Nothobranchius furzeri: one gene and its partner. The protein of the gene in region 2 binds, or shares a complex with, the protein of the main gene of each other region. Links are inferred from orthologs where the notes say so. Each region holds a gene or a part of one and is shown on either strand. Other genes may lie near its edges.

Region 1 (7,665 bases), on a different chromosome or scaffold from region 2:
TTTAGGGTTGGACTGACAGAGGAGGGAGAGTGCTTTGATGCAACCCTATACAACATGCAATGCAGAGCTTTATTTCCCACGATCTCTGAGCCAAACTGATGGGTTGATACTTCAAACTCATGCATGGAAGGCTTTACATGCCAACAAACCTGCGTTTACACGTGCACACCCATACACAGTTCATGTGCATAAAACATAATAGGTGCAGTCTGAAGAAATGTATCTGAGATCTCAGAGTCTTTGGCATGCCACAGGAAACCTGACAAATACACTCTGCTTCAACAAAAAAAAAGGGGGGGGGGGGGGCACTCAGAGGTTACATCGCTCTCCTAAACTCCCCAACTTTTAATGTTATTAATAAGTCAGCTGCTCAAATAAGAAACACTCACAATGAGAGCACGGAGAGCTAATTTCCCCTGGTCTTTAGCACGCAAGAATAAATCGATGCTAAATGAGAAATCATCCAACCAGCGACCAGCCAGCATCTCTCCAGCAGCATTGATCAATAGAAGAAATCAATGTTGCTCGCTGCCTTAAAAAGTGGAAGAATGAACGCAGTTATCTTCTCACTTTGCACTCATCGTCTCAGATCTTTTCACAGGGAAGTCAGCATGAACTCACTTTACATTTTTTACAGATTATAACCCGTGCTCAGATTAGCCACGCTGGTATGGTGTATCTCTTTTACCAGCGTGTTAACTTTCTTTTGGCCATCTTCAGTCAGAGCAACATTATGACATGAAACATAGCAATGGGTTCATTTGTTTTCTGCAGACGGCATCCTTTAAGTACATTAAAGTTATTAAAATCAGTGAGTTTCTGTACAGGATCACCAGGCCTGGATTAATGCACAGGCTTGATATGGCTTAAGCCCAGGGGCCCACGTGTGTTCTGGGGCCCCCATTAGCCAGCTAAAAATATATGATTTTATTTAAATTTACATGCAAGAATATTCTTCAACTGTATTGGCTGACAGAATCATAAGCGACACTGATTGGGTAAACATTGTGGCGGTCTTGAGTTAAGTAATGTGTCACGTAACACGTCATATTCATGTATCATACGCTGTTGCACTTAACGAGGGAAAATGAAAAAAACGTCAGAAAGGAAATATGAGAGCGGCACTCAGAAAAGAAAAATGTATAGAATCAAAGAACAAAAGCACAAAAATATTCAGCAGAAAATCCCAAAATTGTCAGGATATTTTAAATCTGCTGCTGGACCCAACAGCAGGCTATAGAAAAGCAAGACGTTCACGATGAGAGCAACGGAGCTATGCTAGCTGGAGCGGCAGAGGTTCATGATGCTAGCTCAAGGGTGATTTTGTCCACTTGGGTACAAATACCGGATACCGTTTACCCAGGGCCCACTGCAGGGAGGGGCCCTGAGACAGCTTTGAATAAAAATGTTTTATTGTTGATGTTTTTTCCCCCAACTTAATGTCTTAATAAACTTCCCTTTACCTGGATAAAGAGGTTAAGAAACAGAATTTTGCCTTAAAAATAATAACTGAATAATCTCTGAGGCATCTATCACCCCTTAAAAATGTGCAAAGTGGTTTAGTCCACACCAGCGGCCAGGGGCTGCACGGCCGCATGTACAGCTAATGAGACATCGCAGATGCCGACAGCCAGAGCTGGAGGCAGGAGAGTCAGTCATGTCTTTTCCCAAGAAAGGGAAATCTGGCTTCCAGAAAAGAAAAGAAAAGAAAAGAAAAGAAAAGAAAAGAAAAGAAAAGAAGGAGAAGAAGTTAATTGAACAGAAGCAAGTATTGACTAGGTTTTTCAAGAAGGACGGTGAGTAGCAGCCAGCAGCAGCAGAACACAGTTTTAGCTGATATTAGCTAGCTCTCACAAGCTGCATTCATGTTAGGTGTTCAGTGTTAAACGCCTTTAGTTTCACCATCAAGATCAAATATAAATTAACTAGCGTTATCAGTGAAAACACGCGGCCGCCGCCAATTAATTCGCGGACCTCGCAGTAAAAACAGGTTCACTCTGTGTGGATATTTCAGCTCCTTCCCAGTCATGGACCAGGACAAACTTGGTATCGATGGATTCGTGGTAATCTCAGGAATGTGAAGCTGCCACTGTTTTTTGTATAGCATGATGACACTGGTGTTAGACGATTGTTATTGACTTGGTTAGATATTTTAAGCCTATTTTAAATTTCTTTATATTTGATATTGAAAACGGACAATCTTATAATTTGGCTGATAATGCAGGGATTATAAAATTTAGAGTACATTACATTCACAGAGAGAACCTGGTTTATTTCATGTTATATGTATTTAATATATCAATATATATCAGTATTAGCAAAGCTTAACATCATGAACCATGACAGACATGACTGAAGAGCAGATGAAGATATCATGCCAGGCACTGATGAGAAAACATTACAAGGATCTCACAGCTGAATTTGAGAATGAGATGCTACACCTGAGAACAATATATGGTGCCACATTTCCACATATTCAGTCTCCTCTTGTGCTGCTTAATGCCATCTACAGGATGCAATTACAGAGCATTTTTGGAGAAGTTTGTATTGGACTGAGGATATTTTGCACACTACCTGTGACTGTTGCTGGGGGTGAACGGGCTTTTAGCAAACTGAAACTGGTGAAAAATTATTTGAGATCAACAATGTCCCAGGATAGACTGAACAGCCTAGCTCTTCTTTCTATTGAAAGCCAATTAGCCAAAGAATTGGACTTTAAAGATCTCATAAGTGATTTTGCTAACATGAAGACCCGTCAGTGGGCATTTACTGGAAAATAAATTCCAGGATTTTTGTTTGAACACATTGTTGGCAAATAAAAATAATTATATGTGAAGTCTGGGCATTTCACTTTTATTTGCTCAATATAGAGGTTAAACTAAGATCATATTTATTATCTTGTCTTATAGCATGACAAAAAATGTGTAAGAGAGATATTAATTGAGCATGGGGGCCCACCTAGAAGGCTTGTACCTAGGGCCCAGAATTTGGTGCTACGCCCCTGCCTGTACACCTAATCCTCCCCTGAGGATCACAGTGTAGGGAGACACTAGGAGACAACAATCAGTGTTTTTGGAGCTTTTAGCTGAACTGTCTCTTTATTAAACACTCTAAACTGCATTTACGTGCACATCTAAATCGATCTGGGTCAATCCAAGATAATAAACTGGGATTTTCTATTCTAGTTTACATGTACGTTATAAAACCAAACTCTCAAATGAAGTTTGTTTCCTTCAGGTACGTTAGGTGGCGACGTGCATCCTTTTGTGTTGACACTCCTCCAGTTAGCTTATAGCAACACAAAACGTAAACAAACACTGACAAAGTGAAGCAGACAAAGTTAAAACAGGATATGCACAACAAGGAGGAATGGACACCAACAAAGCTGCAGCCCAGCTCACTTTACTGTTACCGGTATCCCCTCGACTGAGCTGTTTACATGCAGATGAAGTTGGTTTCCTTCCACATTACCTGAGTGGTTCAGCAAGATTAGAACCAAGTGGCATTCAGTGAGAATTAACGCGTTTACATGCATTTAAAAAGTCAGTCTATTAGGACAATAGTTTGGTTTTCTGTTTTGTGTGCAAACAGGAGTGACACAAAAAAGCGGACTGTGTTTATAAACAACGTTTGGAACAGTGTTTATGACTTCTACAGCATCTGAGGGCATCTCTGCAGTGTTCTGACCAGTCTTAACTGACAAGTTGACATCTTACTCATGTTAAAACAGTATTTTCTCCATGATCAAGTGGAATAAAAGTAAAACTAACCCAGAGACTTATGATAATTTGTATTTCTTTTTTTTTATTCTGAAGTACCGTAATTTCCGGACTATTTAGCGCACCACAATATAAGCCGTACCGGGCTAAAAGCCGCAGATATCTACTGAATTGAAAAGGTAGTTTAACTGAACATAACTGAACTGATCAGTATCAAACATAACAGAAAAGTTATTGATTAGTTTATTCATCATCCTCCTGCGCACTGAAACCACTGAAGTCATTTTCTTCGGTGTCGGAGTTGAACAGCCTTTTCTGTGGCGATGTCCGTGTTGCGGTCATCATCCCGGGGTGAAGCTGGGAAAACAAGCAGCGTCGTTTTACTGTGAAAAAATCCTCCTGGGCGCTTTCCGTAACACTCCTTTAACCATTCCTTCATTAGACTTTCCAGCATCCATCCTTTCTGGTTGACTAAAGCCGCAACTCATTATAAACCGCATGGTTCAAAGCGTGGGAAAAAAGTAGCGGTTTATAGTCCGGAAAATACAGTACCTGAAAGTTATCTTACAGTGTGGCTGATGTGAAACCTTAGAAAGCAGGTCAACAATAGAAATCAGGAGAACAGAATCATGATACTTATCCAGCACAGGTCAATGAAAAAAAAAACTTGATCAGAACCCCAATCTAATACCACAGAGCGAATCATAACATCCAGTGGAGACTCTGCATCTGAAGACATCTAATACATCTGTCTCTTTGTTGCACAAACATATTTGATGTTTATTTTTTATGTTTCAGAAAAAGCTCTGTAGTCTTTCTTCAGTGGAGTTCTGTTTTAATTCTGATCATTTTGAAAATTGTTTTCAGTCCAAATAAAATGTAACTGATTTAATTTATCTTCACAAAGCTGCAACCTTGGAACTTCTGGATTTTAAATACGAAATAAAATGTGTAGATTCTGGTTTATCAAATGAAATGATTAAATCAAAGACAAAGAAGCATATAATCACAAAACTCTTCATACATTTTTTTGTTTCAAATATTTTTAAGGAACTAGATGCCTGATATTACAAAAAGATGTACTGAAGAGGAGCATTGTGATTTACGGTTCTGTTGATGTTTGTATAGATGACTGAGAAGGGGTGGATTGAGACCGTATGTGAAGGAGTATGTAAAATCAAACACCAAAACTCACCAGTAGACACCATGAGAGTTTCCTTTTCTGTCGTTCGGCTCTTCTTTCCCTGCTTCCTGTTCCGGTTCAGACACAGTTTTGGACTCTACCCCATCACTCTCCACTTCCCCTTCCACCTTCCTGAGAGAAGCGAATCCTGGCCTCAACTCTTCTTCTCCGCCTGACTGAATTTCTCTATTTGAGCCACCAGATGGCACCTCTCCACCAGCAGTGAGGATGTGGTGGTTTGTGAGCTCGTCATCAGGTTCAGACCGGATCTCAGGATCAGCTGGAGGGGTCTGGTTGAGCTCTGTGTCAGGTGTGACTACTGCTTTAGTCTCAGATGGATCAGACAAGACACCTGCAGGAGCCTTGAAGTGACCTTTGCTATCATTGGTCTTCTTGTTACTCTGTTTACTGCCGCTGGGGCATCCTGGGACAAGAATGAGACAGGGACAGACAGAGACAGCTTCTAAAAAATATCAACAATAATTTTCCCAAATCTCAGTTAAACTGTCTGCTTTGCTACCTTTCTTACTCTTGTCTTTCCTCTTCATAAGCAGTCGAGGCAGCGTCCCCATGTGTGTGTAGCCCTTACTGGAACGGACGTGGCTGGCAGTGCGAGGACGCATGGCGTCAGTGTCGTCCAGTGTTGTCTCAGTGACTGAAGTCAGGTTTGCCTCACATCCGCCCTCCTTCCCAGCCTCACATCCTGAGCCTGATTTGGATTTGGAGGCCTTCGAGTCAGATTTGTTGCTGGAGCGGCGAAAGGAAATGCTGGTGATGCTGTCTAACCATTTGAAGCCTTAAAGAGGAGGAGAAAGTCAATTTGTTGCGACAAAAAGTGTAATTTCAAACTCATAGTTTGCTGGGGGGGTATAATAATTGCATATGACATCTTAAAGGAGAGCTGTCTAAGCCTTATGAAAGTAGAAGCAGAGAGGAGAGATGCACCACAGAGAGGTGGAGATCATGTCCATCTGACTGGACATCTCCAGCCCAGAGCTTCAGGCCCTGTCCACGCGTAGACGGGGTTCTGCCAAAACGTAGATATTTTTCTACGTTTTGGCCTGTCATCCACACAAAAACGGAGTTTTTTCACACGAAAACTGATCTTTTTAAAAACTCCGGCCAAAGTGAAGATCTGCGTTTTCTCCGTTTTGGGTGTCTGCGTGTGGACAGACAAAACCGGAGTTTTAAGGTCCACAACGTCACTTTCCGCGACAAAAAATGCTGACATCAGATGTGTGACCTGTGTTTACACTAGCCGACAGCATGGATGCCCTCAGAGCTGCGCTCGCTTTATCAATTGTCCAAGCGCTTTTTGCTTGTTTGTTTTTGCAAGCGGAATTACTGCTCCTTGCGGAAGACCACAGACGAAGGACGAGGTTAAGAACGGGGGAAGTACTGCCGCCTACAGGTCTGGCATGTCCTTAACAACGTATTTATCCGGGTACGTGTGGACAGAGTTTTTTTTTAAACGAGGTGGTGTGGATGCAAGTTTTTGGAGGGGCGGATATTCATTTTTTTAAAATCCCGGCTACGTGTGGACTAGGCCTCAGACTCTCTGAATTAACAATCCAGCAGTTTAATGAATGCATTCCCTAAATAATTCATCCCACAGTGTTCAGTGCTTACTTACCTAATAGTAAAACCATTTGCTGGAACTTCTGCCTGCTGAATAATTCATCTGAGTAATTTTCCAATTCATAGTTGTCCAGTTTTAGTGAATGAAGCTCTATTCTCTGCAGACGTTTGATTATTTTATTCAACTCTAATTAACATTTTTGTTTCATGCATAATCTCACACATTCTGGTCTGGTTGAAGTGTGTTCCTTATGCCAGTGCAGTAAGACAGCTCTAAATTGTTAAAAAAAAGTTATTGATCCCCAGACTTTCTGAAGATTTTCTTTAAACTTTTGCTGCTTTTTCTCTCATTTTTCTGTCTTTGTAACCAGCAGTGACATCACAAATCAGTTTGAGTTTAAATGTGAGAGAAGTGGACAACTAGAAGACCGAAAGTGTGACGACTTAAAACCCAACTTTAGCAAATGGATTGTAAAGTTGTGTCTTTTATAGGATAAAGTTGGAATACAATCAGAAAATATTTGAAAGACCACCTGAGAGAGGCTCCATCCTCCAGCTGATCACCTACAGTTCCCAAATGTTTCAGCTTTAGACCAACAAAATAAACGATAAATGACTCACACTTGCCGTGCCTTTCAGGGTCAGAGGACTCCAAAGCACTTTACACTACAGTGCATCATTCATCCATTCACACACCCTGATGGTGATGAGCTGCAATGTAGCCACAGCTGCCCTGGGGCACACTGACAGATAAAAGATAAATGATTTAAAACCCTGAAAATCACTGGCTTGGTGTGTGTGTGTGTGTGTGCGTGCGTGTGTGTGTGTGTGTGCTCTGTCTTCTTAATCCCCAGTGAGTCGTGGGCTGCTTATACTGAGTTATGACTCGTTGCATTTTGCTGGGTTCCTTATGTAGGAAACTTTTTGCTGATTGGCTTAATGAACTGACCTGTATTGGAATGTTTACTATGTGAAGTGCCTTGAGACGACTTGTCGTGATTTGGCGCTATATAGATAAACTTGAATCGAATTGAGTTGATGATACGCACTTTGTTGAAAAGCCTAATGAACTAGACCTAATTAATTCTTCACATATTATGCAACATATTTCTTTCCATGGCTATTACTTTTAGTTTTGGGAACAATTATAGTAAAAAATTGTGCTGGAAGTAGTTTAATTTTATG
Region 2 (8,190 bases):
GAGAGAGAGAGAGAGAGAGAGAGAGAGAGAGAGAGAGGAGAGAGAGACTTTGACTTTTAAATTATTTAAATTTCTTTACAGATCAACAATCAGTGTTAATGACTGAAACTTGTTTTCCACTAATAAAACCAGGAAAACTGAGAAACCCAGTTTAGAAGTTGATCTTTAGGGAGCCCTGTCCATCCAGCAGACAGAGCACCTGCCCGATCCCCCACACCGCTCTAAAGGAGTCCAGGTTCCCAGTAAGTTCATAAAAAGCGTGTTCGATCTTCAAGCGAGCTTCCACCAGGCCCTTCAGGCTCCGCTCAGCATCAGTCCAGCTCTGTCCCAGCATCTGGTTTTTCCTGGTTTTCCAGATGGCTAGTTTTGCACATGCAAATAAAAAGTTAATTAACAATTTTGTCCGTTTTTTCTGACACTGTACTTGGGCCCGAAAACAAATAACGGAAGGGTAAAAGCCTCCCCCAGTGCACTAACCCACCGTTCTAAAACCCTGAACATCCCTGATAACCTAGAACATGCTACCACTAGATGCTCTAGGGTCTCTGTTTGGTTACAAAAAGGACATCCCTCCCCGGTGCTTGGATCAAAGTGGGCTCTGTGTCTGTTCGTAGCTAAAGCTCCATGTATGATCCTCCACTGGAGGTCTGCCATCCCTTTTTTCCACTGGAGACTTATACAAAGTCCTCCAGCTGCCCCCAGGGGCACGGTCCGCAGCAAACACCTGAGTCCACCTCAACTCCTTGACTCCTAACAAGGAGCGCCTATTGATAACCTTCACACAAGTGTGATAGATCTGTTTCTTCCCACAAGACTGGAAGGAGCCCAACACTGGAGAGTTCAGGTTCAGCAGTAATCCACTCTCCTCCTGCCATCCCTCACCAGCTGCTTTAACCTCCAGAGATGGAAAAACGTACTCACTGTCATCATCCCATTGGTCAGATAGAGTACAAGTCTCAACGAAGGCTCTCTGCGACACAGACAAGGACCTCCGTACCTCCTCCACCACTCTCTCCATCACTCTGGTGGACCTCACATCAACCCGCTCACCAAGGGTTCCAGCCGGGATCTTCAGTAAGTGGCCAAACTTTACAATCCCAGCATCGGTGAACTTCACTTTCAACGAAGACGAAGTTAAAATGCCAGCTTGAGAGAAGAAGTCATTGTCAAACAAGGGTTCTTGTAGCAACCATGTCCCTGGTCCCGTGTCAGGTGCTCGGGAAACCGCCAGCAGCTTAAAGGTGTCCAGCACTGATGAGTAGAACGGACTAATCCTTGTCAGATCCAACACCTTCCGATTCAACAGGAACAGGTGTTTGTTCAGCCCAAGCCCACCAACCTTCTGCAGCAGGAGATGAGCCAGGGGGAGCCAGCGGAGTCCGTCACCATAACAAAGCTTCTGAGCTGTCTGTAACCTGAAGGCTGCAGTTCTAGACACCACGTCTATTAGTCCTTGTCCTCCCTCTGACACGGGTAGGCAAAGAGCCGAAGCTCTGATCCAGTGGTGACCAGACCAGAAGAATTTCACCAACAGCTTCTGAACACCTTCCAGCAGACGGGGTGGTGGAACCAGTACAATCAGTCTCTGCCACAGAAACGAGGCGACGAGGTTGTTTGCTATCAGAACCCTGCCCCTGTAGGACAGCTGAGGGAGCAGCCATTTCCATTTAGACAACCGCGCCTCCACCTTCTCCAGCACCTTCTCCCAGTTCTGTTTCTGAAACCTTTCCCTACCCAAGTACATGCCTAGTGTTTTAATACCTCCCGTTCCCCACCTCAACCCTTCTGGCAGAGGCGGGACATCACCAAGGTCCCACCCCCCACTACACATGCCTCACTCTTGTCCCAGTTAACCTTAGCTGAGGATGCTTTCTCATGTAAACGTAAACTAGATCTGAGTTCTTGTACATCCTGCTGATCATGGATGAAAACATTCACATCATCTGCATAAGCAGACACAACTAAGGGAGGACTGGAGTCAGGTAAAGGTAGGTGTACACCTTTCAGCCTGTTCCTCAGCCGACACAGCAGCTGTTCAATGGCTAAAATATACAGTTGTCCTGAGATGGGACAACCTGTCTGATTCCTCTTAGAACTGGTGGGTTGGCTCAGGCCCCCCGCTACCTTCACCATACAGCTGACATGACATGACAGCATCTTAATCCCTTCCAGGAAGGACCCCCCAACACCAAAGGCCTGTAGCGTAGAGAACAGGATCTCATGATCAACCCTATCAAACGCCTTTTCCTGATCAATAGAAATGATACCTGCGTTTACATCATACATTTTACAAACATCAAACACATCTCTCATTAAAAATAAATTGTCCATTAATGACTTTCCTGGTATACAGAAGGACTGATCGTCTGGGATTAGACCTCTGATGAATCCCCGAAGTCTATTAGATAGGAACTTAGAAAAAATCTTATAGTCTGAACACAACAAGGAAACTGGTCCCCAGGTTTTTAGTTGGGTTAAGTCCCCTTTTTTCGGCAGCAGGGACAGAACGCCCCAACTACACGATGCAGGAAGTGCTCCTGTCTGAAGTGAGTCTCTAAAAACATCCATCAGGTCCTGTCCAATACTGCTCCAGAAGAATTTGTAGAAGTCAGCGGGTAAGCTGTTCATCCCCGCAGATTTACCTGCAGCCATCTGGGAGACTGCCGTTGTAAGTTCCTCCATGGTTATGTCTGCATTTAAGATTCCCTGGTCTACTGTGGTCAAGGAAGGAAGCCCCTGCAACAGCTCTCTGGCACAGTTCACATCACATGGGGCGGCCTTAAATAGGCTGGTATAGAATTCTACTGCATGCTTCCTCATCTCCACTGGGTCTGTGGATAACTGTCCATCTGACAGACGCAGGCCAGCCATTTGTTTTTTCTGGTTTGAAGTCTTTTCCAGGTTAAAAAAGAAGGATGTCAGAGCATCCATGTCCTGTATTGTGGTGAGACGAGCCCAGATCAAGGCGCCTTTGGCCCTCTCTTGCAGGAAATGCCCAAGCTGCTGTCTTTTTTTGGTCTAAGGTGTGCTGTTGTTGAGTAGTAGTCTAGCACCCTGATGTCCTTCTCTAGATCTGCCATAGTCTTTCTTATTTGGTTTGTAGACCCCCGCGTGTAATGTTGACAGAAAACTCTAATTTGTGCCTTCCCTTGTTCCCACCATTCACTGATGGTCTTAAAATCATTCTTTTGGACCGCAAAGCCTCCCAGAACAGCTTAAAAATGTTGCAAAAGGTAAGATCGTCTAATAACTTTATATTAAAGTGCCAGTAGGATTTTGTCGTCCCCAACAAAATGAAGCATCAGTTCAGTTAGAGAGGAGAGAGAGAGAGAGAGAGAGAGAGAGAGGGAGAGAGAGATCCTTAGGCAGTGTTTGTGAAACAGATCCTTTGGAATTTGATGGAAAATAACTCAACAAGCTCGAGCAAATGCCTTATTCCACACACACGCACACCTGCACACACACACAAACACACACACACGCACGCACACCTGCACACACACACACAGTGCTATCAGCTGCTCTGCTGAGCTGACTGGCCAGGTCTGCTGGAATGAAGCCACCAGACCCTGGCTGACATTGGCCTTCATGCAAACAGCCTCCCGGAAGGGGCGGGCTGCTCCTTTAAACCCGCTGGAGCTTCATGTAGGCCAAAGACAAAGAGTAACATGTCACCACCAGCACATATCACACACCGTGTTACAGTAATATGTGTGGGCTCACATGATAACATCTTAATTACTGTAGTGCTATGGAACCGGGCGGCCCGGGCCCAGGCTGTTACAACCATTAACATGGAACACCGGAGCAACGACTGGGAACACCAACATGCGTCTGACATACTTACAGGGATAGACATTTTGCTGCAGCTGTCCTATTGCGCCTTTTCCTGCCAGTTGCGTCTCTAGCGGGTTTTATGCACAGCTGCGCTGGCGTCAGCCGTTCGTGGATTCCATGGAAAAGACTCCTGGTAGGAAAGGAAAGCTCCCAGCGGGAGGAAGAGGTCGGGATTTGTCTCAGTCCAGCTGGACTGCTGCGTAAAAATGCGCCTCAGAGGCGCAGATCTGCAGCAGCGGTAATGCGATCGTCCGTATGACCCGCAGACTTGACGGTTCTCGGTCCTCCCTCAAGTCACTCTGCCTCGGACTCACCCCCCACGGACGCGCGGCTATAACAGCTGGAGCATGAAGCAGCTGCGGCTGGAGGCCGAGCGGAGCGGGTGGAGCACAGCTGGCTGCTACCGTCCGCCCACCACAGGCTGGATCCTGTCCGCTTAAAGGGCCCGAGCCCCCCTCCCATCCACCATCTTTGTGTGGTTTGGGGCTACTGAGAGACGGGAAGCTGATTAAGAAGTTCTGTCCTAGCATGTCCCCTTGACCCAGCTGGGGGTGGGAGAGAGGACTCTAGTGAAAATAACATCACTGTTGGACAGTGTCCTCCATCCCATGCATGAAGCTGGTGTGGAGCTGGAAGCTCCTTCAGTGCCAAACTGCTGCATCCTAGGTCCATCCTCCCAGCAGATGTTGGACTTTATAAACACCAGTGCTCCCAGCAAAACCAGTAAACAGTCTCTTGCATTCCTTCATTCCTGCTGCTTTTATGATTTCCTCCTTCCAATTATCCTCTGTCTGCTTCTTTTTCAGCACATCCTGAGCTCCTTCAAAGGAGTCTCCTACCATCTTTACGCAGATGACATCCAACTGTACATCTCCTTTAAGCCCCATGAGATGTCTAAGCTGCAGCTGTTACACACCTGCTTAGACTCTATCAAAACCTGGATGGCTGGGAGCTTTCTACAGCTGAATGAAGATAAGACTGAGATCCTCATCTGTGCCCCAAACAAGCTGGTTCCCAAAGTCAGAGACTCTCTTGGTCAGCTTGCTTCTCACACCAAACTCTCTGTCAGGAATCTTGGCATGACCTTTGACCCAGTTCTCACCCTGGATTCTCATGCCAGTTCTCTTTTTCGCTCTTCTTCTTCCATCTCAGGAACATTGCTAAGCTGAGTCCCATTCTGAACTTGAGACTTCTCCACACCTTCATCTCCTCACGCTTAGACTACTGTAACTCTCTTTTCACGTGTCTGAGCAGAACCTCCCTGAACCGTCTACAGGTGGTTCAGAATGCCTGTGCTCGGCTTCTGACCAAGTCCTCCAAACACACCCCCATCTCCCTGCTTCTCCTCCAGCTTCACTGGCTGCCAGTCAACTTCAGGGTTCATTTCAAGATCCTGGTTCTGGTCTATAGGGCCTTACATGGACAAGCACCATCTTACATTGGTGATCTTCTTAGTCCCTACACCCCCAGCAGGTCCCTGAGGTCCAGTGATCAAAGCCTACTGGTTGTGCAGCACCAGGCTAAAGACCAAAGGTGACAGATCATTTGCTGCTGCGGCCCCCAGACTCTGGACCTCTCTCCCCCTGAGATCAGTGGACTCAGTGGTCTCCTTTAAAAAGCAGCTGAAAACTCACCTGTCCAGGCTGGTTTTAATGTCACCTTCTGCTGAATCTTCACTAGTTTCTCTTCATGCTGGTGTTTGTCAGTTCTTTTTCATGTTCCTGTGATGACATTTTCTTTTTTATTCACATTTTTCTGAACTGTTTCCCATTTCTCCCATTTTTATTATATAACAATATATATTTAATTTTTTTTCATTTATTTTATTTTCTTGTGAAGTGCCTTGTAGTTTTTATCTAGAAAAGCTCGATACAAACTTTCTTCTTCCATCAAAGTTGGCTCCATCTTTAATCTCTCTGCTGGATTTCATTATTTTGAACGATGGTGTCAACAACGATGCCTCTTGTTGGGAGAAAAGACAAGTCCTTCCAACATCATTTGGTCGTCTTTCAACTGTAGAAAAGGGACCAAACACATTGATGGCGGTTACATCACTTACAGTTAGTATGATACATGCTATACAGCGAGAAAAACTTACCTGTGCTCTTCTCCCTGATGATGCTGCCCACAGACCATCTGCTCAGACTGGGATGACCTCTGTCCTGATGTCCCATGAACGACATAATGGAGAATCCTCCTCCCCTTCCTTCTAGGCCATCACCAATCACATGGACTCTTCCTCATCTGCCTCTCTGGACAGATGAGCCACTGGTGAACTCTGAACTTTAACCTACACAGTTGGTCTGACCACATCATTGGAAACACGTGTAACTGTGACCTGATAAAGTACGTCATTAAAAATGTATCGTTAAAGTTCTTGCCCACAAATCCACCTCCCGAATTTATTAAAGATGGTTTTGTATACGAAGAATGTATAAAGATCCCTTAAGTGAAATATCAATGTCTTTCATTACTTTATTGAACCTGTTGATGGAACACACCAAGTCATGTTTAAAGTGATTAGGTTTCCAGTCTTGATTCGGAAACGGGTAGAATGCCTTCTCCGGGTCAGGGATGAGGTCCTGCTCCAAGTGGAAGTTTAAGTATGTTTGGGTCTTGTTCACGAGTGAGGGAAAGCTGGAGCGTGAGATGGATAGGTGGATTGGTGCTGCATCTGCAGTGATGCAGGCGTTGTACCGGTCTGTCGTGGTGAAGAGAGAAGGCAAAGCTCTCGATTTACTGGTCCATCTACATTCCTACCCTCACCTGTGGTCACAAGCTTTGTGTGGCAGTGTGAGCGTCCTGTCAGTGTCCCAACTGATCATGCGCCCTGGCTACTTGGCCAAGGGGACATCCCTCTGGCTGACTGGTAAGTGCACGTGACTCTCACCCAGGAGTCTGGGGATCGAATCCCCCCCGTGACCCTCGTTTCTCCACCTTGTCACATTTGGGCAGTGACCGAAGAACGAGATCACGGATACGAGCGGCTGAAACGAGTTTTCTCTGCAGAATGGCTGGGATCTCCCTTAGAGATAGGGTGAGAAGCTCAGTCATCCGGGAGGGTGGAGAGGAGCCAGCTGCGATGGCTCAGGCATCTGGTCAGGATGCCTCCTGGACGCCTCCCTGGTGAGGTTTTCCAGGAACGTCCAACCGGGAGGAGACCTAAAGGTAGACCCAGGGCATGCTGGAGGGACTATGTCTCTCACCTGACCAGGGAACGCCTTGGGATTCCCCGGAAGAGCTGGCCCAAGTGGCTGGGGAGAGGGAAGTCTGGGCCTCTCGACGTAGGCTGCGGCCCCCGCGACTCGACTCCAGATAAGCGGAAGAAAAATGGATGGATGGAGTCTATCAGCATGTTTGAATCATTTAATAGAAACAAATAAGAGGCCAGGTTTTTTCTGAATCTGGAACATTCTGAAGGACGCAGCACATTTGTGACTCCATCATTATTCAATGAAGTAATTTAAGCATGTATTAAATTAAAAACACCAAAAGTAGCAAAAAGAGGCACCAGGGAACCAAAATCCACAGCCCGACCCTTTCTCACGCTTCCTGTGTCCACAGATGTGAGACGGTTTCAACTGCTGCTCTGCTGGGGATAGGGTTAGGGTTAGGATTTGGTGAGAAAATATCACAAAACACTTTCTAAATAAAACGTTCTAAACTCTATCCACACAAGGGAACCGTGTGACTGGCACAAGGGAACCTAGAACCCCGTAAACACTTAGGAAACTCCCTCGTTTAGAAGTTCTCACCAGCAGCTGCTGGGACTTCAGCGTAAGCTTCCCTGCATGATGACAGAATAAAAACAACCCAAACATGGACGAGTTTAACTGCACACGTACAACATGGTAACGGGGTGGAACAGTGGGACGAAGGCTGTGACCCTAACCCAGACACAGCAGCTGAATGGAACAGGTCACAAGGAGAGGGTGCTGAGTTATTCCAGTCGCTGGGTGCCAACTCATCTCACCGAACCGCTGAGCTCCGGATCAAAGCCCCAGGTCCAGCTGGAGTTCTGACGAACACCAACCGTACCGCTGCAGCCTCCAGCTGTACGTGAGTTTGTGAGTCCTTCTTTGATCAGCGTCATCGCTTCATGTTGCTCAGCCTCACTGCCTTTTCCCGCTCAAACTGACGATGGTCAACACGCTCCAGGAAGTTCTTCCGCTCCACGTACCTGACCCCCCAAACACACACACACACAGACCGTTAGTCACAAACAGTAACCAGTAACTAACCTGATAAGATTACACAAGCTGATCTGGGCATGTGGTTCAACAGAAGACCCTGGGGTCGACCCAGGACACACAGGGGAGGGTGGGGGAGCTGTACTGTTTTTGATGCTAACCA

The links.
Region 1: the proteins of bcar1 (region 2) and sh2d3ca are in contact, whole or in part, in a crystal structure (PDB 3T6G), measured with the Homo sapiens proteins. The link is inferred for Nothobranchius furzeri from reciprocal best matches to the Homo sapiens genes BCAR1 and SH2D3C. Residues at the interface, in NP_055382.2 of Homo sapiens: Ser739, Gln742, Phe746, Tyr747, Gln750, Asn754, Val779, Ser782, Lys783, Ile786, Leu787, His790, Val793, Phe794, Ile795, Asp797, Thr798, Arg801, Gln802, Ser816, Asn817, Cys820, Leu823, Arg824, Val827, Lys831; in NP_733745.1 of Homo sapiens: Thr543, Val544, Pro545, Val547, Gly616, Val617, Arg618, Glu622, Thr625, Leu626, Pro627, His628, Leu749, Leu752, Leu753, His771, Gly772, Val773, Glu774, Val776, Leu777, Leu780, Glu781, Ala783, Arg784, Ala787, His788.

Annotation. Positions count from the first base shown.
Region 1 is NC_091746.1:49,559,395-49,567,059, forward strand, and holds part of sh2d3ca (SH2 domain-containing protein 3C), read right to left. Parts: intron 5,699-7,665; coding exon 5,423-5,698; intron 5,327-5,422; coding exon 4,915-5,326; intron 1-4,914. UniProt on the Homo sapiens protein: Acts as an adapter protein that mediates cell signaling pathways involved in cellular functions such as cell adhesion and migration, tissue organization, and the regulation of the immune response.
Region 2 is NC_091754.1:40,231,863-40,240,052, reverse strand, and holds the start of bcar1 (breast cancer anti-estrogen resistance protein 1), read right to left. Parts: upstream 4,462-8,190; 5' UTR 3,860-4,461; coding exon 3,848-3,859; intron 1-3,847. Other genes in the region: cfdp1 (craniofacial development protein 1), read right to left, coding at 7,927-8,017. UniProt on the Homo sapiens protein: Docking protein which plays a central coordinating role for tyrosine kinase-based signaling related to cell adhesion. Implicated in induction of cell migration and cell branching. Involved in the BCAR3-mediated inhibition of TGFB signaling.